5 linked regions of the Canis lupus familiaris genome follow. The protein of the gene in region 2 binds, or shares a complex with, the protein of the main gene of each other region. Links are inferred from orthologs where the notes say so. Each region holds a gene or a part of one and is shown on either strand. Other genes may lie near its edges.

Region 1 (6,151 bases), on a different chromosome or scaffold from region 2:
AAGTACAAATACATAAATCTGTAAATGCCTTGATTCACAGATTTCTTGGTTCTTTATTAACTCCTGAAAACACACATATTTCAAAATTTACAAAAAGACTAAAAGTTTTATATCAAAGCAAACTAAATAAAACCTTGGATAAAAGTCTTTGCATCTGGGGTGCCTATGTGGTGGAGCTAATGAAATGTATCCCTTCAGCTCAGGTCATGATACCAGAGTCCCGAGTCCCTCTCACTGAGCTGCCATCAGGCTCCCGGCTCAGCAGGAAGTCTGTGTCTCCTCCCTTTGCTCTTCTCCCTGCTCATGCTCTCTCTCTCAGATCTCTCTCAAGTAAATAAATAAACTCTTAAAAAAAAAAAAAAAACTTTGCATCTTCCAGATGTGAAGGCATAGATGCCTCTAATAAAACAAGCTAACATCACCAAAGACAAATTCTGAAATCGTTAAATCAACAAGTTATAGGAATACTATTTATGGGCTAATCTGTAGACCTAATCCATCAAAAACTCAAAAAATTTATAATAAAGACAACAAAGCTTATCAATTTCTTTTATTATGCCTCAATAAGGTATTCAAAAAATGCTTCCTGAGTGGAATTTTAAAACCAACAGATTTCTAGAATGAGAATTTAAAAATTATTACCCGCTATTTCTGAAAGCCAGTATTAAAAGATATTTAGAAAGCTACATACAATCCACTGAGTGGTTGTTACATAAAGCAATTTAAGAGACAGACAAACATTTCTAGGAAACTAGATTCTTCCACAATAGATTTTTTATTAACTGATCTTTCTAACTGAGCTGTATTGTTATACGTACTACATTAACAATTTCATTAGCCTTTAATAACTTTTTTATATAAACAGGCTCATTTAAAACTTCATAAATACCTCAACAAGTTGTGCTTTATTAAGTCCTGGTCTGGTTGATAGTTTGAAGTGTCTTTTGTATCTCCGAAGTGTATTTACTTGTAATTGGTATAAATCAACCTAGAAAAAATAAACATGTAAGAATTAGTTCATGCAATTTTTAAATTGTTATCTTTGATATGCATAATAGCATTTCAATTTTGGTACAACAAAAATGTAATTAAGTAACAAAAATTACATTATTTAATTAATTCCATTCCATTACTTCTTTTACATAATCAAAACTACAAATATATAGAGCACTTCAATCTTTTGAAGGTAAATACTGAGAACTGGGAGCAAAAAAAGAAGGCAATAGAGGTATAAGCATTGTGAATTGAAAACATAAGTCAAACTACAACTGCCTATTAATTGGCTATATTTAATTTTGCTTTCATTTTCAGATTTTTCGCATTAAGTATTTTTAAAATTTGTTCCTATCTTTTAATAGAAGTTTCAGAATGGAATACTTAGGATTTACATTTAACATACAGAAACTTTACCTCTGGCGTATCGATATCTTGAACAGGTGAATCTCCTCCATCATCATCACTCCCTTTTCTCTTTCTTCTGTTTCGAACACTCTGAATTAAGTTTTTATGATAATCACAAATGTAAAGATGCCTTGCCTAAAACAAAAAAGTTTCACAGACTACTTATTATTATGTAACGTGTCTACGTATTAGTAAAATACATAGGGCACAGTGAATTATTAAAAATAAAAAGTCAAAATAGGCCATTGTTAAGACAACAGCATATTTCTATGCTTAAGTCCTGTATTCAGTTAGAACATACCGTGTCTGACAATAGGGTTAAGAGGATTGGAGAGTGGGGTGGGGAGGAGTGAAAGGAAGGAAGGAAGGGAAGCAGACAAGCAGAATGAGAAATTGCAATTGTCTGGATTTTTTAATTAAACTGTAGTGAGGGTGAATTAGATTTGTTAGGTCACGCTGTTTTTTTAATAAGTGGAAAGATGATGTTGCCCACAATTCTGCTACTGACAGTATTTTCTCTAAAGAGCACATTTTAGTAGCTTCATATCCTTTCTCAGTACTCAAATTATAATCCAGATACAAAACTATCCATTTTTACAAACGAGCTACCGATTTCATATACTACTTATATTTACATCTGAATTACAAGCTTCTGAGTATTTAATGAATGTATTTGTCTGTATTACGTTTTTTTCAACCAAAGGCAATGTGAAACTATTCAAGTTTACTTGAGAAGTGTCTCCCAAGCATGACTGAAGAACTCTTTAACAGGCATAATAGATCACAAACTTTGCAAAAGCTTCAATTAAATGTAGTCTTGAGCGCTGTATGGTAACATCTGAAATACTGGGCTGCATTATTAACAGTTTAAACTCCTTTAAAAAACAACAACAACAAGCGATTAAAGACTAAGGCTTTGAAATTTAACTTGTAAACGAAGTCCAAGTTAAAATTATGCAGGGCGTATGCTAGGTTCTGGCATCTTGTTATCCATTCACCGCCAGCCAAAACTCCGCAAAGTGCCAATGGTTGTTTCTGAAAACCTCACAGATGGTCAAAGAAACACAAGAAACGGACGTGTACAACAAGGACGGTAAAGGAAATCCGGATGCTGCCGAAGGGGTGGCAGCGCCGCAGAGGCAGCGGGCTCCCCACATTCCCGGCAGCTGCGCTGGATGCTGGCGGCGTCCACCAGCCCGGCGGTCTGCACCGCGCGGGGTGAGCTCGGCTCTCTTCCCTCCGCAACCCGGCGGACGAGCAGAGGAGTCGGTCTCCACCGCGGCACCAGGGCCTCGCTTGCAGGACTACACTTTTGCCTACAGCCGGGGGTTGCTCCCCGGGGCCACGCGCCAGCTTGGGCAGCAAAACAAAGGAGGAGCGGACAGGCTGCAAGAAAACTACTCCGGGCCCTCCGAGCCGCGGTGCTCTTTGTTTCGTGTCCCGACCTCAGGGAAGGAGGAAGGGGTTGGACGGCGAGCAGGGCGGACACCCGGAACGGGGTGGGGGTGCGCGGGGGTTGGGTAGGAAGGGTGGGGGTGGGCACGCGAGGGAGAGGAGGCGGGGGGGGGGCGGGGGGAGCAGCGGACCCGCGGCCGGCTGGCGTGGGTCTGCGGGGGAGGCGGTCCGAGTTGCGGCGACTTTGTGGTTCGCGTCCTACCCGAGACCACGCGACGGGCTCGCGCCACAGCCAGGTCTAGGGGACCCCCGAACCGTCCGCCCCTGAACCCCGGTCGGCACCGCTCCGGGAGCCCCAGAGCAGGGCAGGGCATGGCCGTCCCGCCGTCACTCACGCTCTTCTCCAGCTCGATTTTCACCTTCTTCTGGGAGATGCTCTTCTGGATCCTCTTGCTGAAGCTGGCGTTGCCCGCCGCCCGGCCGCACCGCTCTCCGTCCTCCCGCAGGCAGCACAGCTGTCCGGGGCCCGGCCCGGCCGCCCCCGGGGGCCCAGCAGCCGACACCGCCCCGGCACCCGGCACCTCAGCCCCGGCGCCGGCCCCTGCCCCGTTCCCGGCCGAGGCGGCCGCGGCGGCGGCGGCGACCACGGCGGCCACTGCGGCGGCCGCGTCCCCGCCGCGGCTCATCTCCTCAGGCGTGAAGCCATTCATGTCTCCGCGTGCCGACAGAAACCCCCGCTCGGCTCGCCGCTCCCCCTCTCTGCGGAGACTCCGGGGTCTCCGCGGGGTCCCTCAGACACCTGACCCCGCCGGGGCGATTCCTCCAGCGGCACCGCCACACACCAGGCGTCCCGGTCTGCTGTTGTCCGCTGGCGCCGGGATGGGGGACAGCGTTTGGGGTCAGAAGCCAGAACCGGGCGGCGCCAGGAGTTAGGACTCCGGTCACTGTCACATGGAGACGCTTCAGCAGTTGGACCCTGGCGCCTCCGCCTCCCTCCGGCCCCCCGACCTGCGCACGCGCGACGAGCCCTCTCCTGCCCCGCCCCTTCCACTGTGTGGCAGGGCACCATGGGAATTGTAGTTCTTTGAGGGGGAATCACTCTGAGTTCCACCCCGAACTGGGCGCCTTGGAACTACTTATGCTAGCATGCATCGCGCGGCGACGGGCAGGGCTTCGGCTGCTAATTTATTTATTTATTTATTTTAAGTCAGTGGGAAAACAGGGGCGTGTGGTTAGGGGTGGTGATGTTTTCTCGCTTCTAGTCTCTCCCAGGAAGTTGCTCCGTCTTTCGCTACCGGGATTCTGCAGTGTTGGCGTTCTACTAGACAAAGCGGCCACCCCGCTCCTGAGGCGAGGCGCAAAATGTTCTGGGCGGGAAGCTAGGAGGGAAGGTGCGGCGTGAAAAAGTTTCGGGGCCGTTTTCTTACTGTGGAAAAAGAATTTTTGGTGTGGCCATGCTTTTGTGGGACACCCAAACCAAGGAGAACTCGGGGAAGCTGGCGCTCTTCGGGTCCGGGAGATGCCGCAGGTCCCGGGTCACAGTTCCATTCATTGACACACCAGCTGAGGCAAAAACGCCCTTCCGACCTCGACCGTGACAGGGCCGCTTCCCAAGTGCCTCAGCTGAAGGCCGTTTTTAAATCCTTGCACGTTCCTGCGAAGATCGGGTTTCATTTTGGGGCGATCAAAGTTGGCCGCTTCCTGCGGTGGAGCGGCTTCTTTCCGCCTCCACCCCCACCCAACCTTCACCGTTTCTCTTCTAAAGGCCCTAGAGAAAAGTGGGATCCAGGACCCTGTCCAGGGGGACGTGGAGCCCCGATATAGTTAGCGTGAGTGCTCCTCGGAAACTTCCCGGCGTTCTCTCTGCGGAGTGAAAGGCCAGAAAGAACCCGCATTTCCTGGGGTATCCGCCCGCGCCTGTGCGTGTAGAGTGCGTGCGTGCGTGTGTGTGTGTGTGTATCCGCCCGCGCCTGTGCGTGTAGAGTGCGTGAGTGCGCGTGCGTGCCCGTGGGCGCGTGCTTGTAGGGGGCGGGGCCGGGGAATGGAGCGGCTGATAGGAGCGCGTGCGCCTTTGCCGGTTGCTGCGCGTCACTGTGACTGTATCGGATGTGTCCTGTTTAGCCGTCCTTTGGCTTAAATAAAAATACGAACCAGGTTCTTTTGCAAGTTCTTTCAGGCTTGCTGAGTGAATTTAGTGATAGATGATTTTTTAAAAAAACCTAAATGTCATCTGCCCTGAAATTCAAAGCCATCCATTCCGTCTGTGCTTTTCAGTTCTAGGCTATGGCAAAGGGAAAAACAAAAAACAAAAACAAAAACAAAACGTTAAGATATTATTACGTAAATTGAATGAGCAAAAGGAAGATGCTGCATGGTAAGTATGTTGTGTTACCCTTTTTATTTTTTAAGATTTTATTTCTTCGTGAGAAACAGAGAGAGAGAGAGGCAAAGACACAGGCAGAGGGAGAAGCAGGTTCCCTGCAGGGAGCCCCATGCGGGACTCCATCCTAGGACGCTGAGATCGTGACCTGAGCCCAAGGTAGATGCTTAACCACTGAGCCACCCAGGTGCGTCTTGTGTTTTGTTTTTTAAGCTGCACTCTCCAGTAGGGTGTCTGATAGCCCAATGTGCCTATTGAAAGCTTGAAATGTGGTTATTTCTACTGAAAAACTGTTAATTTAACTTTAAATTTAAAAAACAGATTTCAGTTATTGTAAAGACTTCAAGTGTGTTTGGAACAGCTTAGATACATGAATACATTTTTTTTTCTATCTAAATTTTGTGAAATCTAAACTTAGAACCCAAGTTGAGATGTGCTGCAAGTAAGAACTGCTGACAGGATTTCAAAGACTTAGTACTAGAAGTTTTTAAAAAACTATAATGAATGGCTCATTGATACTTTTTATATTGATTATATGTTGAAATGATAATATTTTGAATTTACTGGTTTAAATGAAATATAACATTAAAGTTTACCTGTTGTTTTAAATGTGGCTACAAGAACGTTTAAATGTTTACATATGTGGTTCACATATTTTTGTTAGATAATGCTGGCTTAATCTTTTAAACAGAATACTAGTATCTGTTGTTTGTGCATGTATTTTCTTAAGTGGTGAAAAAGGAGAACATATGGACAGGATGGATACAGTCCAACTTCAGGGTGGGGTTCCTATCTCAGGAGAGAGGCCAAGGAATTGTATCTGGGAATGGTTTAAAGGTGGAGTCCGTTGTATTTGTAGGTTTTTATTTATTAGGAAAATCTGAAACAAATGTAGTATTAGGATGTTGGACTTCCATATTTTTTGTGCTTTTGTTTGTTTTTAAAATAACTCATAATACTGTTTGGTCCTTGCTC
Region 2 (6,278 bases):
GGAAAGAGACAAGAGAGAAAACAGGTAACAGAGATGTGTCAAATGTCTTGAGTTGCTCAAGGGTATCAAACCACAGGCTGACTGTGTCTCTAGGTGAAATCCTCAAAATCATAAAAGTACTGGAGGTAAAAAGCCCACACAACTTATACAAGAATACTTAATCAGGTTATTTCTTGGTTTCAAAGGTATCAGTGCCTTCCTACTGCCTTTACAGTAAAGGACACAGTATTTGACAACCATTCAATGTAAACAAGAAGTCAAGACTTTCTCTCTAAATATGCTGTTTTAGGAAGGTAAATTGGAGGACAAATACTTACATTGATAAAATTATAATTATTAATATGGGGGCAGATAGGTATGCAGAGGAGAGTGTGGGACAAGACTGCCATTACTAAATTCTAGAAGCAAAACAGGTGTAGTTACCAGTATTTTAATAATGATGAAATAGGAATGTTCTAGGGGACACTGTTTTAGAAGTGGGTAAGAAGGAATTCATATGGAAATAAAAGCAAAAACAGAAATGGAAAGGCAGGGCAGCCCCAGTGGCCCAGCGGTTTACCGTGGCCTTTGGCCTGGGGTGTGATCCTGGGGACCTGGGATCGAGTTCCACATCAGGCTCCCTGCATGGGGCCTGCTTCTCCCTCTGCCTGTGTCTCTGCCTCTCTCTCTCTCTCTGTGTCTCTCATGAATAAATAAATAAAATCTTAAAAAAAAAAAGTATACAGTTAAAAAAAAAAAAAAAAAAGAAATGGAAAGGCAATTCTCCAGGGACAGAATATACCAGAAATTTCTTTTGGTATGTTCCCTGAAAGTTTCTCCCACTGACTTCATACTTAGCAATGTAATGTTACAGTACAAGAAACACCTACATTTAAGATAGGCACATTTGGAATTTTTTACTGTAGCTCAAAGTGAAAACAGCTGCAACAAAGACACGCAGGGTGTCACTGTCTCATAGAATAACACATTAATAATAACTTTCAAGTGGAGAACATATTATTTCTAACAGAATAACTACCATTTATTTAAAGCTCTAAATTTTACAAAGTTATTTTACTAATCTCAATTGCTCAAGTGCTTAAATACATTTTGAGTACCATGGACTGAAATAAAAATAAAATACATTTTTGCCTTCAAAATGCTCAGAATATGCTGATAAAAAAATCACGTTAACTTCTGTATGTTTAAACTATTTCACGATAAGAAAATGAACTGTGCAAATAATAATAAAGTTTGATATCTGGATAATAGAAATATATACAAGAAAAATAAAACAAGACAGTGACTGGAGGACAGGAGGAAGGCTGGTATAATGGAATGCTTTATAGCAAGTTTTGCTTTTTAGAGTTAATTTTTCTAAGATTTGTTTATTTTAGAGAGAGAAGAGAGAGCATGCTCACATGAGGGGGGAGGGGCAGAGGGAGAGAGAATCTGAAGAGCCCCATGGCAGGCTTGATCTCATGACCCTGAAACCATGACCTGAGCTGAAACCAAGTGTTAAATATTGAACTAGCCACCCAGGTATCTCTAGAAGCTAATTTTTAAATTAGGTAACTATATTTTCAGGTAGCCAAAGTTATCATTTCTTATATATCTTTCCAAAGATGTTCTAATGCATATACACATAATCTTATATATATGATTATATATATACACATACACACACACACACACCCAATATATGTAACAAACATACATTCTTTTCTCAATCTTTTCATAAATGGTAACATATACTGCATACTTGCACACAAAATATGTATAAAATAAAACTGAATACTATGGAGATCATTTCTAGATTAGTTTAAAAAAAAAAAAAACTTTCTTGGTTTTGGGTGGAGAAGGGGCCGAATATCATTCTACCGTGGAGCTATCGCACCATTTATTTAACCAATCTCCCGCTCTACTGATGGGCATTTAAGCAATTTCTAATCTTTTGCTATTATAAACTTTGCTTCAACAAATAACCCCATACACAAGTAACTTTATACATGTTAAGCAGGGTTTTGAAGAAGTTCAAAATTTTGACAAGGAAAATACAGGGTAAGACATGTGCTATATCCACACAATGGAATTATTCAGCAATAAAAATGAATACAATACCGATACATTCTACAACATGGATTAACTTTTAAAACATACTAAGAAAAAAAATCATTCATAAAGGCCAAATACTGCATGATTCCATTTATAGGAAATTTAAGTTTAGGTGGAAGATAATGAAGGTCTAAGCTAAGAAATAGGCTGTAGTGACAAAGAGGAGAAATGAATTCAAAAGATATTTGGAAGGTAAGACAAACAATTTATTAGCTACCTAGATAAAGGGGTGATGGAAAAGGGATGAATCTGAATTTCTGGCCTGGGTAACAGAATGAAGGAATGTGTTACTACCTCTATTTCCTACCCATATGAGATAGGAAGTATAAAAAGATAAGCAGATTTAGGATGCGATACATATTCATTTCAGATATCCTGAGTTTGAGATGCCTGTAATGTGCCAGGATGATACTGTCTAGATCATACAGTTGTCTTGTACCTTGAGCTGGGGGAGAAAAGTGAGACTTCAGATTTCAGAGTTGTAAAGTAGTAGTTAAAACCATGAAAGTGGATGTGACTGTCTGGGAAAGCATATAAGGTAAACAAAGTAAGGCACAGGCCAAGGATGAAGCTCTGGATAACATATGTATTCTAAGAGCAGGCTAAAAATAAATGTGTGTATGGAGGGGGGGGGGGGCAATTAATACTTTATTGAGCAATCCCTCCATGTGGTGAGCCCGGTGCTAGGTGGTGCTTTGTTTCACAGCCTTTATCTGCACCATCTTATTTATTCCTAACAATTTCGTGGTAACGGATACTTGTCATTTTAAATTTACAAATTAGGAGACTGAGGATAAGGGATTTTAAATATTTGTGTAAGGTCTGGAGTTTAAAAGTGACTGTACTGAAATAATTACAATCCTGGTCGGATTCCAGAAAGGTCAGACTTTCCTATTTCCTACTTCACCACTCTGCTTTCCACGGCCATACTATTCAGCACGGGTTTTTCCGTACTGCACCGAGTAGACCTGTAACTGATCATTTAAAAAGCCCAACAGGGGCGCCTGGCTGGCTCAGCCGCAGAGTATGTGACTCTTCCTCTCCGGGGTCGTGAGCTGGAGCCCCGGGTTGGGTGCAGAGATTACTTTAAAAAAAATCATTAACTCCATAAATAAAGCCAAACATCGTTGTATATCTGAAACTAATGTAACACTGTGTACACCTCAATTTAAAAATATTACGTAAAATAGCCCAACTTCAAAGAGATGAGACAGACGCTACATTTTCGGGTGGGATAAAAAATAAAAATTTAAAAAAGGGGAAGCAAGAGGTGATCTTACTTCCCTTTCAAGATCTGAAGGAAACAGGGAATCACCTTTGGACAGGATGGCAGAGCTCAGAAGCCACGATCCCTGGGATCCGAAAAGACAAAACCAGAATCATTTGAGGAAGTAACTACGATCAGACTTCTTCGTTATCTTACAGATTTACATTCTAGCTGACGAGCCGACCGAGCAGACGAAGGCTTGCCCGTCTCCTGGCTGATGCCAGCTTCGCCGGCGAGCTTCTCCGGGGAGGAGAAGGGGCGAGAAGACCAGGGCTTCAGCCCGGGGAAGAGGCGACTGTCCCGGGAATCCCAAGACACCGCCACGGTCAGCTCCAGCAGCCCCGGGCAGCCCAGGCACCCCCGGCCGGGACCCTCCCCGGCTTCCCTTACTCACTTTTTTTTTTTTTTTTCTTACTCACTTTTTTGATATTGGATTTGGAGGCAGGATGAAAGTCCTTCTTGCACATGAAATTGGCGAAAGATTTCCCCATCTTAAAGCCCGAGCTGGGGAAGCTGGACGCCGGGTCTCAGAACAACGTAAACAAACGCGGCCGCCTAACCGGAAGTGCGCCGCCTGGGGCGGCGGGAACTTCCGCGGTCAAAGGTGACCACTTCCGGCAACTCGCGCCTTCGCCCGCCCCGCAGGCCCCGCCCCCTGTCAGAGGGCGCGTGCGCAGTGGAGCTGCCGAGCCGGGAGGTGCTGCGTGGCGGCCCGGGGGCTCCGGGAGGGGGTCGGCTGCGGGTGGGCAGGGCTGTGCGAAGGTGTCCCTTCCGCGGACTCTGACTCGACTTACCTAAAGTCTCCGCACCGATTGTCTCGTCTGCAATGTGGAAGTAGCGAATTCTCGTGCAAACTCTGGATGCTTCTGAAAGCTCTCGGTGAGCTAAAGCCTGTGCCCTGGAAATTGCCAAGGTCCACAAGGAGCGAGAGGGTTTATGTTTTGTTACCGGCTGTACCGTGTGCCTGATGTGCATAGGCATTTGTTGAATGATGAATGCGTATTTAGGAGCTGGCAAGGGCTCCCGAGCTTCCCCCACTGCTCTACCAACGAGGTGGCCTGTTCCCTAGCCTCTCCTGCGACCCCCGTCGTGCAGCTCCATGTTTTTTTTAAGATTTTATTTATTAGAGACACACACACACACACAGAGGCAGAGACACAGGCAGAGGGAGCAGCAGGCTCCACGCAGGGAGCCCGACGTGGGTCTCGATCCCGGGTCTCCAGGGTCACGCCCCGGGCTGAAGGCGGCGCTAACCGCTGAGCCACCCGGGCTGCCCCGAGACCCCAGGGTTTTGGGTGCCCGGAGCTGCTACTGCTGCAGGGGCTCCAGCAACCAAGCCCTCTGGCAGGGAGGCGGGGGGTGCGATAGCGAGAATAAACCTCTTGGGAGCAGTTTACCCTTTTGTCCAATAATAATAACAGCTTGCAGGGAAGGATAAGGGAGAGGCCCCCAGAGTCGGGCTCCTACCCACCCCGAGGAAACAGATAAGACGGTGAAGACAGGAAAAAAAAAAAAAAACAAAACCTAGCTCCCTAGCTCCAAAATGTTAGGGAGTTATCCCCCTTTACCTGGCTGCTAAGCGATCCCAGAGATCCAGATGTAGAGGGATGTTATGGAGGAGATCCTAACCAGAGGGGAACCCCTGGTTTGAGCTCGTGACATTTACAAAAACATCTTGTTGTGATGATGCTCACAGGCCCCCACTGTGTTCCTTCTAAATATCCACCGTGATATTGATAAGAAATTTACCAAGTTCCCTGGTCACTTTCCTATAAAAGACAGACCCTAAAAGCCCTGGGTGGTAACCCTGTCTGGACCCCTCTCCCTTTTGAGAGCTTTCTCTGTATCTCTGCTTAATAAAGTTCCATCGCTTTGCTCGCTCTCTTGTCCGCAAGATTCATTCTTGGACTACAAGAGACAAGAACCGAGCTCGCCTGTATTGATTTGTTCCATGCACTATGCAAAAAAGCTTGGATAAATAAATAAATATTTTTTAAAATGTTTAATATTTTTATTTTAAAATAAAATAAAATATGCACCCCCCCCGGGCGGGGGGAAGCCTGGGTGGCTCAGCGATTGAACGTCTGTCTTTGGCTCAGGGTGCAGTCCCAGGGTCTGGGATCGAGTCCCCCACATCGGGTTCCTTGCAGGGAGTCTGCTGCTCATGTCTCTGCCTCTCTCTGTGTGTCTTTCATGAATAAATAAATAGAATATTTTTAAAATATTAAATATTTTTAAAAATCCAAAAAAGCTTTATACATTGTCTTATTAAATTCTAATAAGAAAAAAAAATTCTAATAAGAGCCTCCTGAGGGATTTACCTACGAGGGGGAAGGCTTAGATGGAGATTAAGGAGCCTCCCCAGGTTGTGCAGTGGTAGAGCTAAGCTCAGAACACAAATAGAAGGCGATCCAGGACACAAAGGTTGAAGTTCACCCAGCGGCTAGTGACCTCCCTCCTCCAATAACAGGAAAAGAGAAAAAAGTCTTTAAGAGTTTCAGGCTCATGGTGTTTCTTTCTTGAGTCGTGCTGTTCTCTTTCGAATGAAAACATTTACCAGATTTATATTCTGTTTTAAATTGCTAGCATCTGTTTGTGTAAAGCCATTCTAAAGTTTGGTCATTATAAAATAAAGGAGAGCAGGAAACTCTAAAACAGTATGTCCACTCTGGAAGCACACACGTTCTATGGGAAATCAGGGGTTTAAGATTTTCCAAGTTACAAATGAAGACACAATCTTGATACTAAATTCTACAGTCAGGATTTACAAATTATTTCTGTGAGCTTCTTCCTGGAAGTATCAACAATTAGGAATTTTACTGACATGGTTTTGTATTTGTCTGATTCAGCGAGTCAGCTTTTAAAAAGCTTTTAAACTTTCAGTGTTCTCAGTATTACAATCTGTGGGTATTCTCGT
Region 3 (6,318 bases), on a different chromosome or scaffold from region 2:
ACGTGGGACTCGATCCTGGGACTACAGGATCGCACCCTGGGCCAAAGGCAGGCGCTACATTGCTAAGCCACCCAGGGATCCCCAAGGGATTTTAAATAGAGGAGTGACACCCTTATATTTATACTTTAGAGGTCACTGGCAGCTGTATGGATGCAGGGGAAGAAGAGCAGCAGTTGGAAATTGTAGTAGGAGCCTTGAACCAAGGCAGAGGTGAGGAAGAAGAAAGGTATGCAAGACAGATTGTGAAGTGGAATGTACAGGACTCTGGGTGGAGAAGGTGAAGGAAAGGCAGAGCCCTAGGTTTCTGGTTTCTAAGTGAATGTAGTCCAATTCAAACTTCACGTGTCCAAAACTGAGCTCCTGATTCCCCCTGCCTGTTCCTGTTTTCCTCATATCAAGTCAGTGGCAACGTTGTTGTTATAGCTGCCCTGGACAGATAACTTGCATGATTACCTTAGTTGTTCTTTTACCCTGCACATCTGAATCATCAGCAATACCTTTGTCTTATTTATTTTTTATTTAAAGATTTTTATCTATTTGACAGAGAGAAAGAAGAGAGTGAGCACAAGTGAAGGGAGAGGCAGGAAGAAGCAGACTCCCCACTGAGCAGGGAGCCTGATGAAGGGCTTAAGCCGAGAACCCTAAGACCACGACCTGAGCCAAAGGCAGACACTTAACTGACTGAACCTCCCACACCCCTTTAAAATACATATGGAATGGGATTCTTTCCCAATACCCTTACTGCTAACACTCAAGCCACTATCCTCTCAAGCCTCCTAACTGATTCTCCTGCAGGTGATTCACATCAGTCAGACTGACCCTTTAAAAATGTTTAGATCAGGGCAGCCCTGGTGGCTCAGTGGTTTAGCGCCACCTTTGGCGGGGCATAATCCTGGGGACCCGGGATCAGGTCCCACGTTGGGCTCCCTGCATGGAGCCTGCTTCTCCCTCTGCCTGTGTCTCTGCCTCTCTCTCTCTGTGTCTCTCATGAATAAATAAAATCTATAAAAAATATTAAAAAAATGTTTAGATAAAAAAAAAAAAAGTTTAGATCCAGTGCTCTGCCCAAAAGTCTAAAAGGGCCTCTATTTTACTCAGAGTAAACCCCAATATCCTTACCATGGCCTCAAAGGTTCTGCATGAACTGGGCCCCTATTTTCTTTGATTACCTCTCCTTATTCTCCTCCTGGCTCAGTCTGCTCTAGCCACACTGGAGACTTTTTTTTTTTTTAAAGATTTTATGTATTCATTCATTAGAGAGAGAGAGAGAGAGGCAGAGACACAGGCAGAGGGAGAAGCAGGCTCCACACAGGGAGCCTGACATGGGACTTGATCCCAGGTCTCCAGGATCCCACCCTGGGCTGAAGGTGGCACTAAACCGCTGAGCCACTGGGGCTGCCCGAGACTTTGTTGCTTTGAGTGTCCAAGCACACTCCTGCCTCAGGGTGTCTGCTCTTGTTCCCTCTGCCTGGGGTGTTTTCCCCTGATGTGTCCACACAGCTTGTTTTTCTCTCCCTTTATTCAGGTGTCTGCTCACATGTGGCTTTCCTGGACACAATCTATGAAACAGCACTACTGTTCCCCACTGGTTACTCTCTCCCCCTTCTCTCTGGCATTTCCTAGCATAGTACTTATTTGTTTAAAGAGGGCAGAGACACTGTTCATTTTGTTTGCTGCTGCATCCTCAGTGCCTGCTATAATGGTGGGTGCTCAGTACATGCTTCTTGAATGAATAAACAAACATAAGAGGAAGAGGTTTAGGAAGAAAGAGTTCAGCTCTGGACATGCTGTTTCAAGCATCTAGGGGACAATCAGGTAGAGTCATGTGGAAGTTTATTTATAGGCCTAGAAAGGAATTTTAAATAATAATAATGTTGATCCTGTTAAACAAATAAGAAAGACACTTGTTTGTAACATGGTGCAGAGCACATTAAACTTAAATTATTTTATCCTCATAATAGCTTGGCGAAAGAGGTATTCAAATTACCTCTAAAGAGGGCGAAAAAAGTTCTCAGGGATTCAGAATTGGAAAACCTGACTCATCTGTTTGTACCAAAAAGAGCGAGGGGGATTGTAATGTAGGAAAGGTCTGCCCTTGCATCTCTGTACCTCTCACCTTCATATACTTGTTGAAGACCGTCTGGATCTCCTCGTTGATGCTAGGCTGCAGGACAGCTCGAAGGAGGTCCATGGAAATGGCAGGATCTGTGAAACTGCATTCAGGAGGGAGACACAGTCAGGGGTCATGTCCCAAACATATCTTTCCTAGTCTGCCCAGCCAATTATTGACACAGGCTCCTTTAATAACAGTAATAGCTTCTATTGAAAACAAGCTATGTGCCCAGGTTCTGTGCAAATGAAACATATGTATGGCTTTATTCCATTTTCATAAGAACCCTACAAAATAAGTATTATTTTTTAAAGTGTTTTATGAAATACAAAGTCTATACACTTTTTTTTTTTTTTCATTTTAACAAATAGTTTTAGTGAACATCCACTTAATCACTACTCAGGTCAAGAAATTTAATCAGGATCCCATGGGTCCATTGTGCTCTCTCCCTTCACTGAGATAAATACTACTATTAGCCTCACTTCTTTCTTTAAAAAAATAAAAAAAAAGATTTTATTTATTCATGAGACACACATAGAAAGAGGCAGACACAGGCAGAAGGAGAAGCAGGCTCCATGCAGGGAGCCCGATGCAGGACTCCATCCCTGGACTGAGAGCATGCCCTGAGCTGAAGACAGACGCTCAACCACTGTGCCACCCAGGTGCCCCAGCCCCACTTTTTTCTAAACCTCTATGCTATTTTGCCTCTTTAGAGCCCTCAACCACAGAGCGAGTGAGTGTTAGGATCTTAGGCACTGCTGAATTCATGATTCCTCCTATTTTGTACAAGAGTTCAGAGGTGGCAATGATTCAACCAAGGTCACATCCAGAGTGACAAAAGCCGAGTCTCCTTTTTCCTAGTCCATTGCTCCTTCTAACAGCTGCTGATCTCTCTTCAGCTCTGTGTAGTGGGGACCCCAAGGGTGCCATCCAAGCCAATCAATGCCGGGGAGGTCAATACTCAGGCCCAGCCTTACCTTGTTGTCATCTGTGAGCGGCGGCCCCTTCGCTGCACCTGCCTGTGCTTTATCATTATGTTCCAAGGGTTCTGTGGGGACCAAGGGAACAGATGTCACCGAGGCTTGTGACACTAGGGTACAGGTGGACGGTGAGTATGAAGTTAAACGTGGACACCTCTGCTTCTCAGGTACTGTCAGCATCTCTCCCACCCTCGGGTAGGCGGGAGGGCAGCGGTTGAAAGGTCCTGCCGGGGTGGAGGAACTGAAGTTTCCTGCCTGGAAAAGTCCCAACCCCACCCTTTCTGGGATGGGAGAGGGAAGGGAACCAGTGTTTACCGAGGGACCACTCTGGGGCTGCTAGCGTGCTGGGCGCTCTGCTCGCCTTTACACCCCATCCCCGTAACAACTTTACGAGGCAGGCACCAATCCTCTCCATTTTACAGAAGAGGAAACTGGAGCTCAGAGGTGACAGGACCGGCTCACATCGCCTAGCCTGGAGGGCGGCACCAGAATTTGAATCCGGGTGGTCGGACTGCGAAAACGCCACCGCCCTGGGCAGCACCAGCCGCCGCGTTCTCTCGCCCGCGGGCCAGGGTCCCGGGAGCCCGAGGCCCAGCCGGCCCGAGCCCAGCCCCAGCCCCGGCCCCGGCCTTCCCGGGGGCGCCCTCACCGTGAGTACCAGCTGCCCCGCTGCGCCCGCGTCGCCCAGCTCGGAGCCGCCCCGCTCTGCCCCGCCGGGTCCCCGCGGCTGCTCGGCGTCGCCAGTGGCCCCCATGGCTCCTCCGGCGCCCCCCAACCTCAGCCCGACTCTGCCACCGGCCGGAAAGTGGCCCTGTGACGTCATTGGAGGGCGCCGCGAGCCGGCCCGGAAGCGCGACGCGGCGAGCCGCGGGGTTTCCATGGGAACCGCAAGGCCGCGTCCCGCTGGGGCCCGGAAGCAGGCAGGCGCTGTGAGCCGCGCGGCGGGGGCTTCTTCTGCGGCCCGGCCGGCTCCTCGGGTGCGGACTGTGGGTATTTGGCCCGGGAGCGCTCCCCGCTGGGCCAAGGCGGGTGGAGAAGTGCGGGGCAGGAAGGACGAGAGCGGGCTCTCGGGGCTGGAGCTTAGGTGCGGAGGGGAGCACAGCGGGGCCCACAGTTCAGTCTTTGAAAGCCGTAGAGTGCGCCTAATGCGGGGACCCGAAAATTCAAGAGGGGGTCTGGCCCATGCCCTTCCAAACACCCACCGGGTCCCTCGAGGCCTAGGCTCCAGGGGATGCCTCTTGCATCTAAAGGCATCATAATGAAGGTTGGGTCTTGGCCCGTGGACTCTCCCAAGCCCCAGCGACCTGGGCTTCTCTCTCCAGGAAGGTGATCCTGGGATGGGCGGGGATGCAGAGGTTTAACAGCTATGGAGTTTCGCAAAGCTCCCCTTAGCTCTGGCTTAGAGGTAGGATGTCCGTAAATAGAACTGGATCGATTTACGGGTAGTAGAGAAAGTTCCTTTTCCAAGGTCACAATGTGGAATAGTAAAACGTACATGAGTTTTTATTTGTATTTTGTTTATTCATGAGAGACTGAGAGAGGCAGAGACATAGGCAGAGGGAGAAGCAGGCTCCCTGGAGGGAGCCCGATGAGGGACTCCATCCCTGGACTGGGATCAGGACCTGAGTCAGAGGCAGACGCTCAACCGCTGAGCCACCCAGGCGCCCCAGTACCTGAGTTTTTAATGTAGAAAGATATGAGTTCAAATCCAGCATGATATGGTGATTAAGAATATTGACTATGGAATTGGTCTGCCTGCCTTTGGTCTACCACCCTCTGTGTGATCCAGGTTTCTTTCTGTGCCTCAGTTTCCCTATCTGTAGAGTGGGGACAATGGTACCTAACTAATAGGGTTGCACTTAAGGATTAAGTGAGCTAATTCATGTGAAGAACTCTGGCACAGGTAAACCCCCAAGCAATGCTATCTGTCACTGCTATTATTAAATTCCAGTAACCACCATTTACTAGCTTTATGACGTTGGTCATTCTTTCTCAACCCCTCTGAACCAGTTTTCTTACCTCTGCAAGATTATTGTGAGGATTAAAATAGATAATACATATAAAGCACATGTTAGGTTATCAACAAATGTTAATTATCTCCATGGTCCAATATCAACCTTAAAACAATAAGGCAACTCTTTGGCACCAAACTCTGGCTCTATAGTGGATATTTTTGCTTTATTTTTATTTTATTATTATTTTTTAAAGATTTTATTTATTCATAGAGACAGAAAGAGAGGGGCAGAGACACAGGCAGAGGGAGAAGTAGGCTCCTTACAGGAAGCCTGACGTGGGACTCATCCGGGGTCTCCAGGATCACACCCCAGGCTGCAGGTGGCGCTATACCGCTGCGCCACCAGGGCTGCCCTATTTTTTATTTTTTTAAAAAATATTTTGTTTATTTGACACATAGAGAGAGGCAGAGACATAGGAAGAGGGAGAAGTCGTCTCTCTGTGGGGAGCCCAATGCAGGACTTGATCCTAGGAGCCCGGGATCACAACCTGAGCCAAAGGCAGTTGCTCAACCACTGAGCCACCCAGGTGCCCCGAGATTTTTGCTTTAAGCCTTGAATTTCCTCTGCTCTTTAATCTTACTGGGCCAAGCAACGTCAGTGGATACCATTAAATATCATGTCTGACCAAAGTCATCATGGACAGGACATGTCAACAGTACAGATAAAAGTAAAACGAAATAGAAGAAGAGGAGATAAAGTAAGGGAGTATAGATGGTCTAGACTACTTGAATCATAGCAACTTCTTTTTGGTTCTGTCAGCTAGCCTTCATGCAATCCAAAAATGGCCTGAATGGGCTAGATGGACCAAGATGTAGGTGTTTGGTGCATTTGTATTAGTTCTGAACAAACTCACATACGGTTTTGCTGTAGTTTTTTTTTTTTTTTTTTAAGATTTTATTTATTTATTCGAGAGAGAGAGAGAGAGAGAGAAAGAGAGGCAGAGACACAGGCAGAGGGAGAAGCAAGCTCCATGCAGGAAAGCTCAATGTGGGGCTTGATCCTGGTCTCCAGGATCAGGCCCCAGGGCCGAAGGCAGCGCTAAACTGCTGAGCCACCCCAGCTGCCCCTTTCTGATGTTTTCTAAGTAGTCTGCTCCACTCTGTTTTTTGGATTGCTAGGAGCCACACCGCATTTTGTTAGTTTGGTTATGATTAAGTCCTGTCTTTGGTCCTTCCCTCTGTCTCTTTGGCTGCAGCTGTGTCCTTCCAAAGCC
Region 4 (5,630 bases), on a different chromosome or scaffold from region 2:
TCCACAATTTTATATTTACTTTCCCATGCTGTTATAATCCTTTTCTGCTCTTCATTCGCAGAGTCCACAGATAATTAGAACCTACATTCTCTGACTCTACAGAAAACTAGAGGCAAATTCAGAAAACAGGATACACTGTCTCATGAAAATGATTTCCTACTACCAGAATGCCATATTCCTCATGGGGCAGTGATAAATAACTGAATTAACTATATCCTCCAGAAGACAAACTACCTGTACCAAAATACAAACTAGGAAAGGACACTGGAAAGATTGATCTTTGAAGTTGGAGAGATAGCTGATTTTGAGGATGAGTTGCACACTTACCTGGAATTTTAGACAACTATGTTTATACCAATAAAACCAATATTAAACCAAAATCTATACTCTACTTTTCATAAGGAATGATCACTTAATGAAAATCAATTACCAAAATATAATTCTGGTAGTGAGAAAGGAAAAGATCTAATCATGGAAACTGATCTTGATGCCAGTAACTTACCTGCTACCACTCATTACATAACCCGAGCATTCAAATGATGCAATTTCTTCACTTGTCAAGCCAATTTCACCTCTTCTTGGGATACGTTTCCCAGCTTTTACATATTCAGCCATAGCTGCACCCTCACCAGGTAACAGAGCATGGCCATAGCTACAAAGTAATTCAGAATTCAGAAAAGGTTCATTATAAAAAGTATATCATCTAAAGAGAGCACAAAAAGATTTTCTCTCAGAAAACAGCACAAATAACAGTTGCTGAGTGGCAGCATGCTGGGAAGCCCAACATGAATTACTTTAATTAGTGAACACTGCACTCTGACCTACATAACTAACCCAGAAATACAGACATGCTTTGGAATAACAGAAGAACTGATGTTAGTGAGCCTAGATTCATGGTTTACAATTACGGATCAATTTATCCCTACAGGCACTGCCTTTATGGCTTCTGCCTCCAGTGAATTCCTTTCCCGTTTAACCCCTTAAAGAAAAAAAAAAAAAGAACTAACATATCTCAAATTAACATACTTTTTAGACTCAGAACCAGTAACAATGCTATACAATAACAATTATCTATTAACTTTCATTTGAGGGGACTTTAAAAACTATCATCCCTTCGATTCAATTCATTGACTACATCTTGAATACCTATTAAACTCAGAGCTTATAAGACAAAAATAATCTCTCTTCTTATGGAATTTATATACTGATAGGGACATAACTGCAATACAATGCAGAACATATAAAAAACACTGCACAGAAGAAAGAGAAAATACCGTGAGGACTAGAAGATTAAAGAGGGGTAGGAATCCCATCTACTTGTAGAGAGAAGGGTCCTGGGAATCAGCACATGACCCCTCCTTTTGAAAAGAGCTTTGAAAGATGGTAAGGATGTTAACAGGATGAAATTGGGAGTAGTGAAGAAACAAGGGCAGGGAAAAGAAGTGAAGGCATGTTGGGGGAAGACATAAGGTGAACAAGGCATGACGTGGGAAAGTACACAGTAAATATAGGGACGTTTTAGTTCAGCTCATTTGGAATTTGGCATGTAAATAAGGGCATAGAGGGAGATACAGCTGGAAGTTGGAAAGGTAAGTTAGGGCCGTACTTTCAGGAATGTACTTCAAGATATTTTATTTATATTTATTTTTAAAAAGATTTTATTTATTTGAGAGAGAGAGAGAGTGAGAGAGAGCAGGGGGAGGGAGAAACAGACTCCCTGCTGAGCAGGGAACCCGATGTGGAGCTTCATTCCAGGACCCCAGGATCATGACCCAAACTGAAGGCAGATGCTTAACTGAGCCACCCAGGTGCCTCTACTTTAGATATTTTAAATACACTGTTAACTTACTTCAAAGGTTTATCATCCTGAGAGGCAAGTGTTTTTGGAGCCTCTGGGCCAATTAAATCTGAGGGTTCTTCAGGCTCTACAGGAAAGATGTTCAGAAACAGATTCATATTTTGACTAGTTAATTTAATGTTTTATCTGTTCTGAGTCAAAGTCTACCAGAAGAACTTACTTGATCGATCCTTCCAGGGATTCTCCAGAAACTCTTCCTGGGAATCTTTAGAGCTTGAATCACTGGAATCTTTTCTACTCTTCTTAGATTTCTTTTTCTTGTATTTCTTCCTGTAATTATAATTTGATATAAATACACTTAATACTCCCACATTAAAGGGAATCTCACATTTTTTAGGCAATGAAAGGCTGATGAAAATGATTTAAGTTCTCAGCTGACTAAAATTTTTAGAGCAGATTTTTAATAAAAAAAAATTTTTAGGGACGCCTAGGTGGCTCAGCGGCTGGGCGTCTGCCTTTGGCTCAGGGCATGATCCTGGGATCCGGGATGGAGTGCCACATCGGGCTCCCTGCATGGAGCCTGCTTCTCCCTCTGCCTGTGTCTGTCTCTGTCTCTCATGAATAAAATCTTAAAACTTTTAAAAAAGATTTTATTTATTTATTTGACAGAGAGTACAAGCAGGGGGAAACAGAAAACAGAGGGAGAGGCAGAAGCAGGCTCCCCATTGAGCAGGGAGAGCAATGCGGGGCTTGATTCCAGGACCCTGGGATCATGACCTGAGCTGAAGGCAGATACCCAACCGACGGAGCCATCCAAGCACCCCTAATTAAAAGATCTTTTAACTTATTTAACCAAATCATGTTTCACTATAAAAAAGATTTCTCAAGGGACAATGAAATATGGTTCTCACATTGCAAAAAGATAACAAATCAGTTTAAAAAACAATTTGAGCATCAATAATTTGAAGTGTAATGATTAAAATATATCAACTATGTTTGAATCCTTGGGTTCATAATGATATTTAAAAAGTCCAACTCATTATTTTGAAAACTCATAAAACCAAGAAAGTTTTAGAAAAAGTCATTAACCTGCCTTTCCTATATAAACTGTACTTCAGAGTAACCAAATAGTTGATGAGGGTAGGTTTCTCTTATAGAATTATTTTACCTAATAAATGCAGAAAGACAGAAAAAAGCAAGCAAGCAAGAAAGCCAGAATTAGACTATCACCATTTTGTAATCCCTAATGAAATAAGGAATCTAAGTAATGACAATCCATGGCTATTAATATGACAAAAAGAGACAACCAGACATTATCTGGCTCCTGACAAAGTACACAGCAGCACCTATGAAGTATGTGCGCCAAAGACTCAAATCTGAACATCAATTCTCTAGACCTTACTGTCAATATATAGGAAATAGAGAAGACAGAGAACATGTTAAAAGCACACCATAAAAACACAGTCAGGTGTGTCTGGTTGGCTCAGACAGTGGAGCATGCAACTCTTGATCTTGGGGTCATGAGTTTGAGCCCACTAGGTATAGAGATTACTTAAAAATAAATCTTTTTAAAAAATAAAAAATAAAAATAAAAAACCTTTAAAAATAAAGAAAAAAATTAAATACAATCAGCAACTCGATAGGTAAATGATTTGGTTTAACAAATAAATTGCAAGAAAAAAAGGGAAGGGGAACCAACTGATTTAAAGACATGTAAGAAATGTATCAACCAATCACAATTTATGGGCATTATTTGAATCCAGATTTAAATAAACTATATAAAAACCTGCTGAGAATTGAGGAATTATTCCTAAATATCTTAGGCACAGTAACAATATTGTGATTTTTGATCACAATAACAATTATGATTTTTTAAAAAAGAATGGCTAACTTTTAGAGAAACATGCTGGTTTATGGACAAAATGATACCTGGGATTGGTTTTCATTTTTTTAAAGATTTTATTCATTTATTCATGAGAGAGAGAGAGAGAGAGAGGCAGAGACACAGGCAGAGGGAGAAGCAGGCTCCATGCAAGGAGCCCAATGTGGGACTCGATCCCGGGACTCCAGGATCACGCCCTGGGCTGAAGGCAGGCGCCAAACCGCTGAGCCATCCAGGGATCCCCTGGGATTGGTTTTCAAATAATGGGAGGGCAGTGGAGATTGTCCAAGGGTTGAAATTATTAAGCTAGGTGATGGTTACACAGGGGTTCATTACACTATTTATCATTATTTATTACTTTATTTTATATATATTTTAACTTTTCCATGATAAAAATTAAAGAGAAAACTGACGATCTATGTTTCTTCTTCTTTTCCTTTTTCTTGGCTTTCTTTGATCTTCTTTTTGTATCTTCATCTGCAAATTAAAGCACATTTTAATTAAAAACAAAAATTTAACTCTAAAACCCCAGAATTTTTAGTAGATAAATATCCTATTGCTGCCCTATTAGTTGTTACAGAGAAATTTATTTTTTAAAGATTATATTTATTTATTCATGAGAGATACAGAGAGAGAGGCAGAGACACAGGCAGAGGGAGAACCAGGCTCCATGCAGGAAGCCCGACATTGGTGACTCAATCCCGGGACTCCAGGATCACACCTTGGGCGGAAGGCAGGCGCTAAACTGCTGAGCCACCCAGGGATCCCCGAGAAAGCTATTAATTGAAACATTTATTGCTACTCATCTGGATATGTGTTCAGTACCAGGGACACAGAAATTAAAGTCACACTAAGTCTTCAGTGATACAGAGTATTATTAATTTTATTGGGTGAGATAATGGCATGGGGTAAGTAGGAAAATGTCATTGTTTTTTAGAGGTATATATAGTAATCTTTAGGGTAGTAGTGTGATATTTCTAATTTACTTTGAATATCTCAGCAAAAAAAGCTATTTAAAGCAAATGTCAAAATACTAAAAACTTAAAATCTAAGTGATATGTGTACATTGTATTATATTATTTTCCTTACTTTCTAATGTTTGAGTATTTTCATAATGAAGAAAGCAAAAATCCTATGTGTTTGGGCCCAGGGACATGCTTTCTAGGGGCTCAGTCTAATGGAGGAGGCAGACATAAAGAGATAAACAGAATCCAGAGTGATACAGGGAAGCATGGGGTGCTCTGAGTGTACAGAAAAATCTCATTATCAGGCTGGCCTAGGGAGAACTACCCTTAAGCTAGTTCTTTTTAAAATCAGTTTTATTACAAAAGTACTACATGACCATTATTGAAGTGAGTAAGCCAAGCCACATGCAGGGAGAGACTGGCACTGTACACAGATGGACTCTGTATCAAGTGACAGAAGCAAGAGAAAGAACGCAAAATACTGAGGAGATAGAAGATAGTTCTCAGGTTACAGAGGATGCTGCAAGAGTGACAGGATATGTGTGATTAGAGAAGGATCAATCAGGGTTTGGACTTTACCCTGGAAACTACAGAGTACTGAAGGATTTTTTTTAAGGATTTTAAGTAGGAGACAGACATACTCACATTTGTGCTTTAAGAAAGTTCATTCCAACAGTGAGAAAGAAAAGTAGCAACAGGAGCCAGGAAACCCAGGTGACATCAGAGGAAAAGACACCTTTACGTAATGTGTCCCCAGAGGCAGCACCCTCTATCAATCACCAGCCAGAAGGCACAAAAAGGTGGCTTTCTATGAGCCACCACTCCACAGGGAGTGTCTTCCATAAATCACATGCCAGCCTGAAGGGGGTCCTTTATGGTGTGCTTTTTTGAAAATGGCCCAGAGGTGCCCAATGAGTGTGAGAATGACACAAGAGAACTGCTCCATGGGCTGATAGAGCCCTGTATGGCTTGCTTTGCTGCCACA
Region 5 (6,240 bases), on a different chromosome or scaffold from region 2:
GAGAGATATGCACACAGAGAGAGAGAGAGAGAGAGAGGCAGAGACACAGGCAGAGGGAGAAGCAGGCCCCACTCAGGGAGCCCAATGCAGGACTCGATCCTGGGACTCCAGGATCACGCCCTGGGCCGAAGGCAAGCGCCAAACCACTGAGCACCCAGGGATCCCCTTTTATAAATATTTTATTTATGGGCATCCCGGGTGGCTCAGTGGTTTAGCATGTGCCTTCAGCCCAGGGTGTGATCCTGGAGACCCGGGATCGAGTCCCACATCGGGCTCCCTGAGTGGAGCCTGCTCCTCCCTCTGCCTGTGTCTCTGCCTCTCTCTCTCTCTCTCTCAAGAATAAATAAATAAAATCTTAAAAAAATTAAAAAAAATAAAGATTTTATTTATTTATTCATGAAAGACACACAGAGAGAAGCAGAGGCACAGACAGAGGGAGAAGCAGGCTCCCTGTAGGGAGCCTGATGCAGGACACGATTCCTGGACAGGGAGGGATCATGCCCTGAGCCAAAGGCAGATGCTCAACTGCTGAGCCACCCAGGCGTCCCATTCACCAACTTTTTTTTTAATGGGGAGATTTCAACTAGATATATTAATTTCTGGCTTTTCTTGAAAATTATTAGATTTTGCATTTCGTGATAGTTATTAGTAGGACAGAGATGAGGGATAACTGCCATTTCTGAACAGATGTTCCCAAAGATCCTTGCTTTCTTCCTGTCTGGCCCCTATAATTATGATCAATATAGATACCAACAATAGCAGCACACACTTGAGGCTTTGTCCTATGCCAGGCACTCCTGGAATCACTTATGGATCATCTAATTCCCACAACACTCCTTTGAGGCACATCCTCTGTTCTTAACCCTGTTTTTACAGATGAGGTAAATAAAGCCCAGAGAAGTTAAGTAACTGCCCAAGATCAAGGTTAGAATTCAACCCCGGGTATTCTGATGTCAAAACCGTCACATGTAACCACTCATCTATGGTAGGATTCCACACCTGAGACTGGGACTCCTGCCCCATGTGCCGTACGTCCTTTCCTAAGCTGAACAACCAAAGAACACTCCCTCCCTTGATCATGTAACCATTATAATTTAAACCATTAGGGTAACTCATCTCTTCTGCTCATTAAAAGAACAGATTTACAGCTCACATTAAGAACTAGATAGAAGACAAGGAGGAATCAGAAAACTATGACTATGCTTTCTAAGAAAATTTCTCACATAGAATTAACTAAGGGAGGAAAAGAGACCTCAAGCCTTCTCATTCCAAAAGCTGATCCTAGCATAAAATACAAATAAGCATTAACATCTAGAACAGCAGGTTTTCCAAGTGAGGCGGATGGGGGTGGGAAACCTGGGGGGTCCTCAGAGTCTTGCAGGGATTCTTCGAGTCAAAACTATTTTCATAATAATATTCAGACATTACCTGCCTTTTTCATTCTCAGTGAGACTTTCCAGAAGCTACAGGGAATATTTCAAAAGGCTGAATGCAGTAGCAGAAATAAGATTCTAGGTGACTCCAAAAGGTAAGACAATGCCACTATTCTCACGAAATTTCTTTCTGAAATATCATCTTTCAAAAAATATTTAAAATAGTCAATTTTGTTAACATAATAAGCTTATCACTTATTTTTAAATGAATAAGTAGGGATCCCTGGGTGGCGCAGCGGTTTGGCGCCTGCCTTTGGCCCAGGGCCTGATCCTGGAGACCTGGGATCGAATCCCACGTTGGGCTCCCGGTGCATGGAGCCTGCTTCTCCATCTGCCTATGTCTCTGCCTCTCTCTCTCTCTCTCTGTGTGACTATCATAAATAAATAAATGAATAAGTATTTTAAAAACGTATTAAACCTCTAATAGTGCAAATATCAGCAGTATAGAGTTCACGTGCACAAATTCTCTGGGATCTTCAATGATTTTTAAATATAAGGGGGGGAGCCCTAAGATCAAAAAGCTAGAGAACTGTGGCTGTAAAGAGGAAAAGTCCTGCATCCACATGTGCCCAAGTGGGTGAGTATCTGTGTATGCAAGTCTTACACAGAAAGAAACCCTAAACCAAATATTCCAAACTGGTGGCCAGCTGGCATGTTTTGTAAGGGCTCCACACTGCCTTTAAATACCTATTAAATTCATTGTCACCATTTACAGATCAAAAGGTTTGACATAAATATAGTGTCTCTTCTCAAAAACAATTTTTTTTTAAAGTTCTGGCAACACTGTCCTGGCATTTCCACTGACTGGTATCACTTAGATGGGGCACGTGACCTTTGGTTCATCACACTGCAGGCATTTACCAATATGCACTATACATAACCTTTTCCTTATCTGACCTCACAAAGCAGAAACTTATAATGGTTTCATCATCGGTACAGAGACTTGGGCCAATTAGAAATCCTTCTGAGAAAGGAAGGAATCCTGACAAAGAAGGGATCTGTGGACAGGGGCAAAGGGGAAAACTCACCAGGAGAAGAACAAATGAGTGAATCTCCAGGGAACAGGAGGGCCCAATTTAGGACCCACAGGGAGGGGGTTCAGGTGACCGTCAGACCACTGGATATTTCCTCCTGGAACTCCGGGTAGCAAATTCAGGACACTCATCCAACTTCTTGTGTCCTGAAAGCAGCTGGTGGAAAGGAAGGGGCATTCAGAACTTGGGTCCCCAAAGAAGCAAGCACACAGGTGTGAAACTGTGGGGATGACAGGCAATTTTTGGAAGAAGGAAGGAAGCAATACTAAATTGGGGAGATCTAGATAGGGAAAGGGTTTTGCAGTTAAGGGAGTTATTTTTGTCTTTTCCTTACTTTCCTTCCTAGGGAAGGGACCTGAGGGGTTTGCTGGGAAAAGCCTAATTGGGGTAAAACTGGTGATGGACAAAAAAGGGATTTTTGCTGAAGAGGTCGAGAAGAGCGTTGGAAAAACAAGTATTACATGAGAAACTGGAAGAACAGAGCTCCTCTGCTATCAGTGGAAAGATAGGACAAAAAGGGGGGCTCTTGGTGGGCAGAAAATTTTTGCTGGAAAGAGATCCTGAATGGAGGAAAAATCCAGAAAAGAAAAAAATATATATATATATTTATATTCTTTTTTGCTAGAGAAAGTTTCTAAAAGGAGGTTGAAGGGTATAATCAAAGAAGAGAAGAGATTTTTGGTTTTGCTGGAAGATCCTAAAAGAAAAATTCGGGTCCCCTATTCAGGAGGAAAGGTGATTTTTAGCAGAAGGCCTGGAAGCTAGAGCGAATGCAAGGCCGCGGTGCAGAAAGCGCCGAGGTCGGTAGGGCCCGAGGCGCGAGCCGGGGGGGGGCTGCGAGGGGGCAGTTGGGGCCTGCGGGGCGGGGGAGGTAAGGAAGGGGATGCAGTGGGCCAGGGGCCCCCCCAGGAGAGCCTTCTCCAAGGGCGAAGGGCCTGCGGGGTGCAGCGGGGCCCGGAGCTGTTGGGGTGCAGAAGGTGCGTGCGTGACGCGGGGTGAGGGGCGCCCGCCGCGCCTGCTGCGCTCCTCGAAAGGGAGATGGGCCCCCTAAAAAACAAATATATAAACGAATTAGATTTTAAGGGGGGGGAGGGGTTGAAAAGTGAGGAGGGGCGGGAAGGGGGGGGTAGGGAGGAAAGGGAGGGGGCAGGGGCAGCAGCAACCGGGTTTTACCCGCCCCCGGGGGCTCGCGCGCCGGCCTCGAGCCTCGCGCCGGGCGGGCCTCCCAGCGGCCCCCTGCCCCCCTCGCGCCGCCCGCCTCCGGGCGCGCACGCGCACCTCAGCCCGCCCCCGGAGCGGCCCGCTCACCCGCGGCGGGGGCGCGCGTGCGTGGCTGCGGGTCCCCCCACGACACCCAGGGCGGCCTCGCGCGCCCCTCGCGCCGCCCGGGCTCCCGGCGCGTGCCGCCCGGCGGCGAGGTCTCCGCAGCTATTGGGCCTCGGACGGGAGGGGGCGGGGCCACGCGAGGGGCGGGGCTTGGTGCGGTCAGGTGACCGACGGCAGGCGGGAAAGGAGGCGGTTGGTCGCCATTTTGCGAGGGGGGCAGTTGAGGCTGGGAGAGAGTCAAAGTGGAGCCCGGGAAGGGCCTGCGGCGGGGGCGGGGACGGGGGTGGCGAGGGGCCGGCCTTCCGGGCTCCCCGACACCCGCACGCGGAGGCCCGGAGTCGGTCGGCTCCGGCCATTGTTCCTGGAGGGCGGCGTTAGAACGCAGCGGCGGGGGACTCGGGCTCCCAGCGGCCGCTCCGAGCTGCGGTGGCCCGCGGTGGGGGCTGCAAGGGCGGGGTCCCGCCCGGCCGGGTCTCGGGGTCCCTCGAGGCAGCCGCGGCGCGAGCGGGAGCCGCGAAGACCTGCTCTTCGGTGGGCTGGGAAGATGCGGCTACGCGGCCCCGTCGTGCCGGGGGTGGGGGTGGGGGTGGGGGTCCAGCTCCCCGCTGGGTCCTGCTGGGCGGAGGGATGGGACCGGGGTGAGCCGTGGCCTGAGGGTGCTACCCCAGAGCCCCCAAGACGGGCAACTCATCCCCTAGGAAGTGAACCCCGACCATCTGAGGAGTTCGAGAGCAGCTTTGCAGGCGCCTGGGTGGGAATGGGGACCCCCCCCCCCGTACCGGAGCATAAGGGCATCTGATTGGGGTGATGGAAAGATTCTAGAAGTGAGCGGCGGTGGTTGCACGCCGTGCTGAATTCACTAGAAAAGGTTGGATTTTATGGAAATAATATCTCAGTAAAGTTTTGTTGATTTGATTTTTTTTTTTTTTTGATCCCTGGGTTAGACGGACGGAACAGAGAGGATAAGAAAAAGACCAGCATTCTACTTTTGGATTCCTTCATTGAGCAAATATTTATTGAGCTTCTGATCTGAGATAGAGCAGACGGAGCAATGTCTGAGTCAGACGCACATTCCCGCTCGAGCTTGTGTTCTCAGCAGCGCTGTCCAAATGATACAGGATGCAATGACATGAAATTAGCTTTAATAGTACAACCTAAACCAAAATGTTGGGGCACCTGGGTGGCTCAGTTGGTTAAGCACCTGCCTTGGGCTCAGGTCGTGATCTCAGGGCCCTGGGATCCAGCCTGGCATGGGTCACACTGCTCAGTAGGGAGCCTGCTTCTCCTTCTTCTGCCTACCACTGCTTACTTATGCTCTCTCTCTGTGTGTCAAAAAATAAAATTGTAAAAAAAAAACACAAAATGTTATTTCAGCATGTAATCAATACAAAATTTTTAATAAGTTCCTTTTTTTTTTTTTTGGAAAGTCTGGACATCTTAATCCAGAGCAGTCACATTTTGAGTAGAGCCACAGGTAGCTTAGTGACTCTGGGACTGAAGAGCATACCTCCAGTAGGAGACAGGAAAATACATTTAGAATGCAATGTGGTTATACTTTAAAGAAGAAAAGAGAACGGAGATTATCAGAGGATGCTATTTGATAACAGGTCAGTGACGGTCTCTCTGGTGAAGTTACACTGAGCAGAGACCTGAAGGAAAAGATTTTAAAAATAGCTGGTGGAAGAGCAAGTGCAAAGGCCCTGAGACAGGAAGACGTGGATCCATTTGAATAATAACAGAGACCAATGTGGCTGCATCTATGTGGACAAAGAAAAGGGTATACTAGGCATGGATTGTGTAACGCCTTGTAAGTTCTGCAAAGACAGGAATTAAACACCTTTCAATTTAGGAGAGTTTTTTTTTTTTTTTTTTTTTTACTTATATAGCAAACATTTTAGAATATGGAATTTTTTTTTTAAGATTTCATTTATTTATTCATGAGAGACACAGAGAGAGAAAGAGACAGGCAGAGGGAAAAGCAGGCTCCATGCAAAGAGCCTGATGTGGGACTTGATTCCGGGTCTCCAGGATCTCACCCTAGGCCAAAGGCAGGCGCTAAACCACTGCGCCACTCAGGGATCCTGGTTCATGGGAGTTTAAAGAACAGGACTTACACTCCTGGAATAAATCAGTATCTTCCCATCCTTTGACAAACATTTAACACTTTATGGACAAAGAAGATAACTTGTGACATATAACACAAAAAATTAGCATTCAAAAATTATTTTTTTCAAAAATTATTTTTAAAAACAAGTAAAAGCAATAGCTTGATTTAAAAAAATAAAAGCTATGAAGAGACACTTCATCCCAGAGGGACCCTATAAAAAGAGACCAAGCCACAATAACAAGAGAATGCAAATTTAAACCATAGACATCCTGTCATGTTGACCAGCATGGCAAATTTTTAAAATTTCCTATCAGGTGGAGCAATGGGAACTCATAATAGG

Evidence for each region.
Region 1: CIR1 (region 2) and SAP30 share a complex: the UniProt entries of both Homo sapiens proteins name them as parts of the histone deacetylase complex. The link is inferred for Canis lupus familiaris from reciprocal best matches to the Homo sapiens genes CIRSR and SAP30.
Region 3: CIR1 (region 2) and DNTTIP1 share a complex: the UniProt entries of both Homo sapiens proteins name them as parts of the histone deacetylase complex. The link is inferred for Canis lupus familiaris from reciprocal best matches to the Homo sapiens genes CIRSR and DNTTIP1.
Region 4: CIR1 (region 2) and NKAP share a complex: the UniProt entries of both Homo sapiens proteins name them as parts of the notch corepressor complex. The link is inferred for Canis lupus familiaris from reciprocal best matches to the Homo sapiens genes CIRSR and NKAP.
Region 5: CIR1 (region 2) and ZNF541 share a complex: the UniProt entries of both Homo sapiens proteins name them as parts of the histone deacetylase complex. The link is inferred for Canis lupus familiaris from reciprocal best matches to the Homo sapiens genes CIRSR and ZNF541.

Annotation. Positions count from the first base shown.
Region 1 is NC_049246.1:24,119,196-24,125,346, reverse strand, and holds the start of SAP30 (histone deacetylase complex subunit SAP30), read right to left. Parts: upstream 3,821-6,151; 5' UTR 3,507-3,820; coding exon 3,192-3,506; intron 1,537-3,191; coding exon 1,411-1,536; intron 989-1,410; coding exon 890-988; intron 1-889. UniProt on the Homo sapiens protein: Involved in the functional recruitment of the Sin3-histone deacetylase complex (HDAC) to a specific subset of N-CoR corepressor complexes. Capable of transcription repression by N-CoR.
Region 2 is NC_049257.1:18,770,924-18,777,201, forward strand, and holds the start of CIR1 (corepressor interacting with RBPJ 1), read right to left. Parts: upstream 3,950-6,278; 5' UTR 3,853-3,949; coding exon 3,781-3,852; intron 1-3,780. UniProt on the Homo sapiens protein: May modulate splice site selection during alternative splicing of pre-mRNAs. Regulates transcription and acts as corepressor for RBPJ. Recruits RBPJ to the Sin3-histone deacetylase complex (HDAC). Required for RBPJ-mediated repression of transcription.
Region 3 is NC_049245.1:33,723,765-33,730,082, reverse strand, and holds the start of DNTTIP1 (deoxynucleotidyltransferase terminal-interacting protein 1), read right to left. Parts: upstream 3,883-6,318; 5' UTR 3,845-3,882; coding exon 3,740-3,844; intron 3,159-3,739; coding exon 3,088-3,158; intron 2,214-3,087; coding exon 2,117-2,213; intron 1-2,116. UniProt on the Homo sapiens protein: Increases DNTT terminal deoxynucleotidyltransferase activity (in vitro). Also acts as a transcriptional regulator, binding to the consensus sequence 5'-GNTGCATG-3' following an AT-tract.
Region 4 is NC_049260.1:92,607,156-92,612,785, forward strand, and holds part of NKAP (NF-kappa-B-activating protein), read right to left. Parts: intron 4,158-5,630; coding exon 4,094-4,157; intron 2,129-4,093; coding exon 2,019-2,128; intron 1,926-2,018; coding exon 1,850-1,925; intron 653-1,849; coding exon 503-652; intron 1-502. UniProt on the Homo sapiens protein: Acts as a transcriptional repressor. Plays a role as a transcriptional corepressor of the Notch-mediated signaling required for T-cell development. Also involved in the TNF and IL-1 induced NF-kappa-B activation.
Region 5 is NC_049222.1:109,164,730-109,170,969, reverse strand, and holds the start of ZNF541 (zinc finger protein 541), read right to left. Parts: upstream 3,821-6,240; 5' UTR 3,776-3,820; intron 3,682-3,775; exon of another isoform or gene 3,641-3,681; intron 3,507-3,640; exon of another isoform or gene 2,624-3,506; 5' UTR 2,462-2,623; intron 1,529-2,461; exon of another isoform or gene 1,448-1,528; intron 1-1,447. UniProt on the Homo sapiens protein: Transcription regulator which is essential for male fertility and for the completion of meiotic prophase in spermatocytes.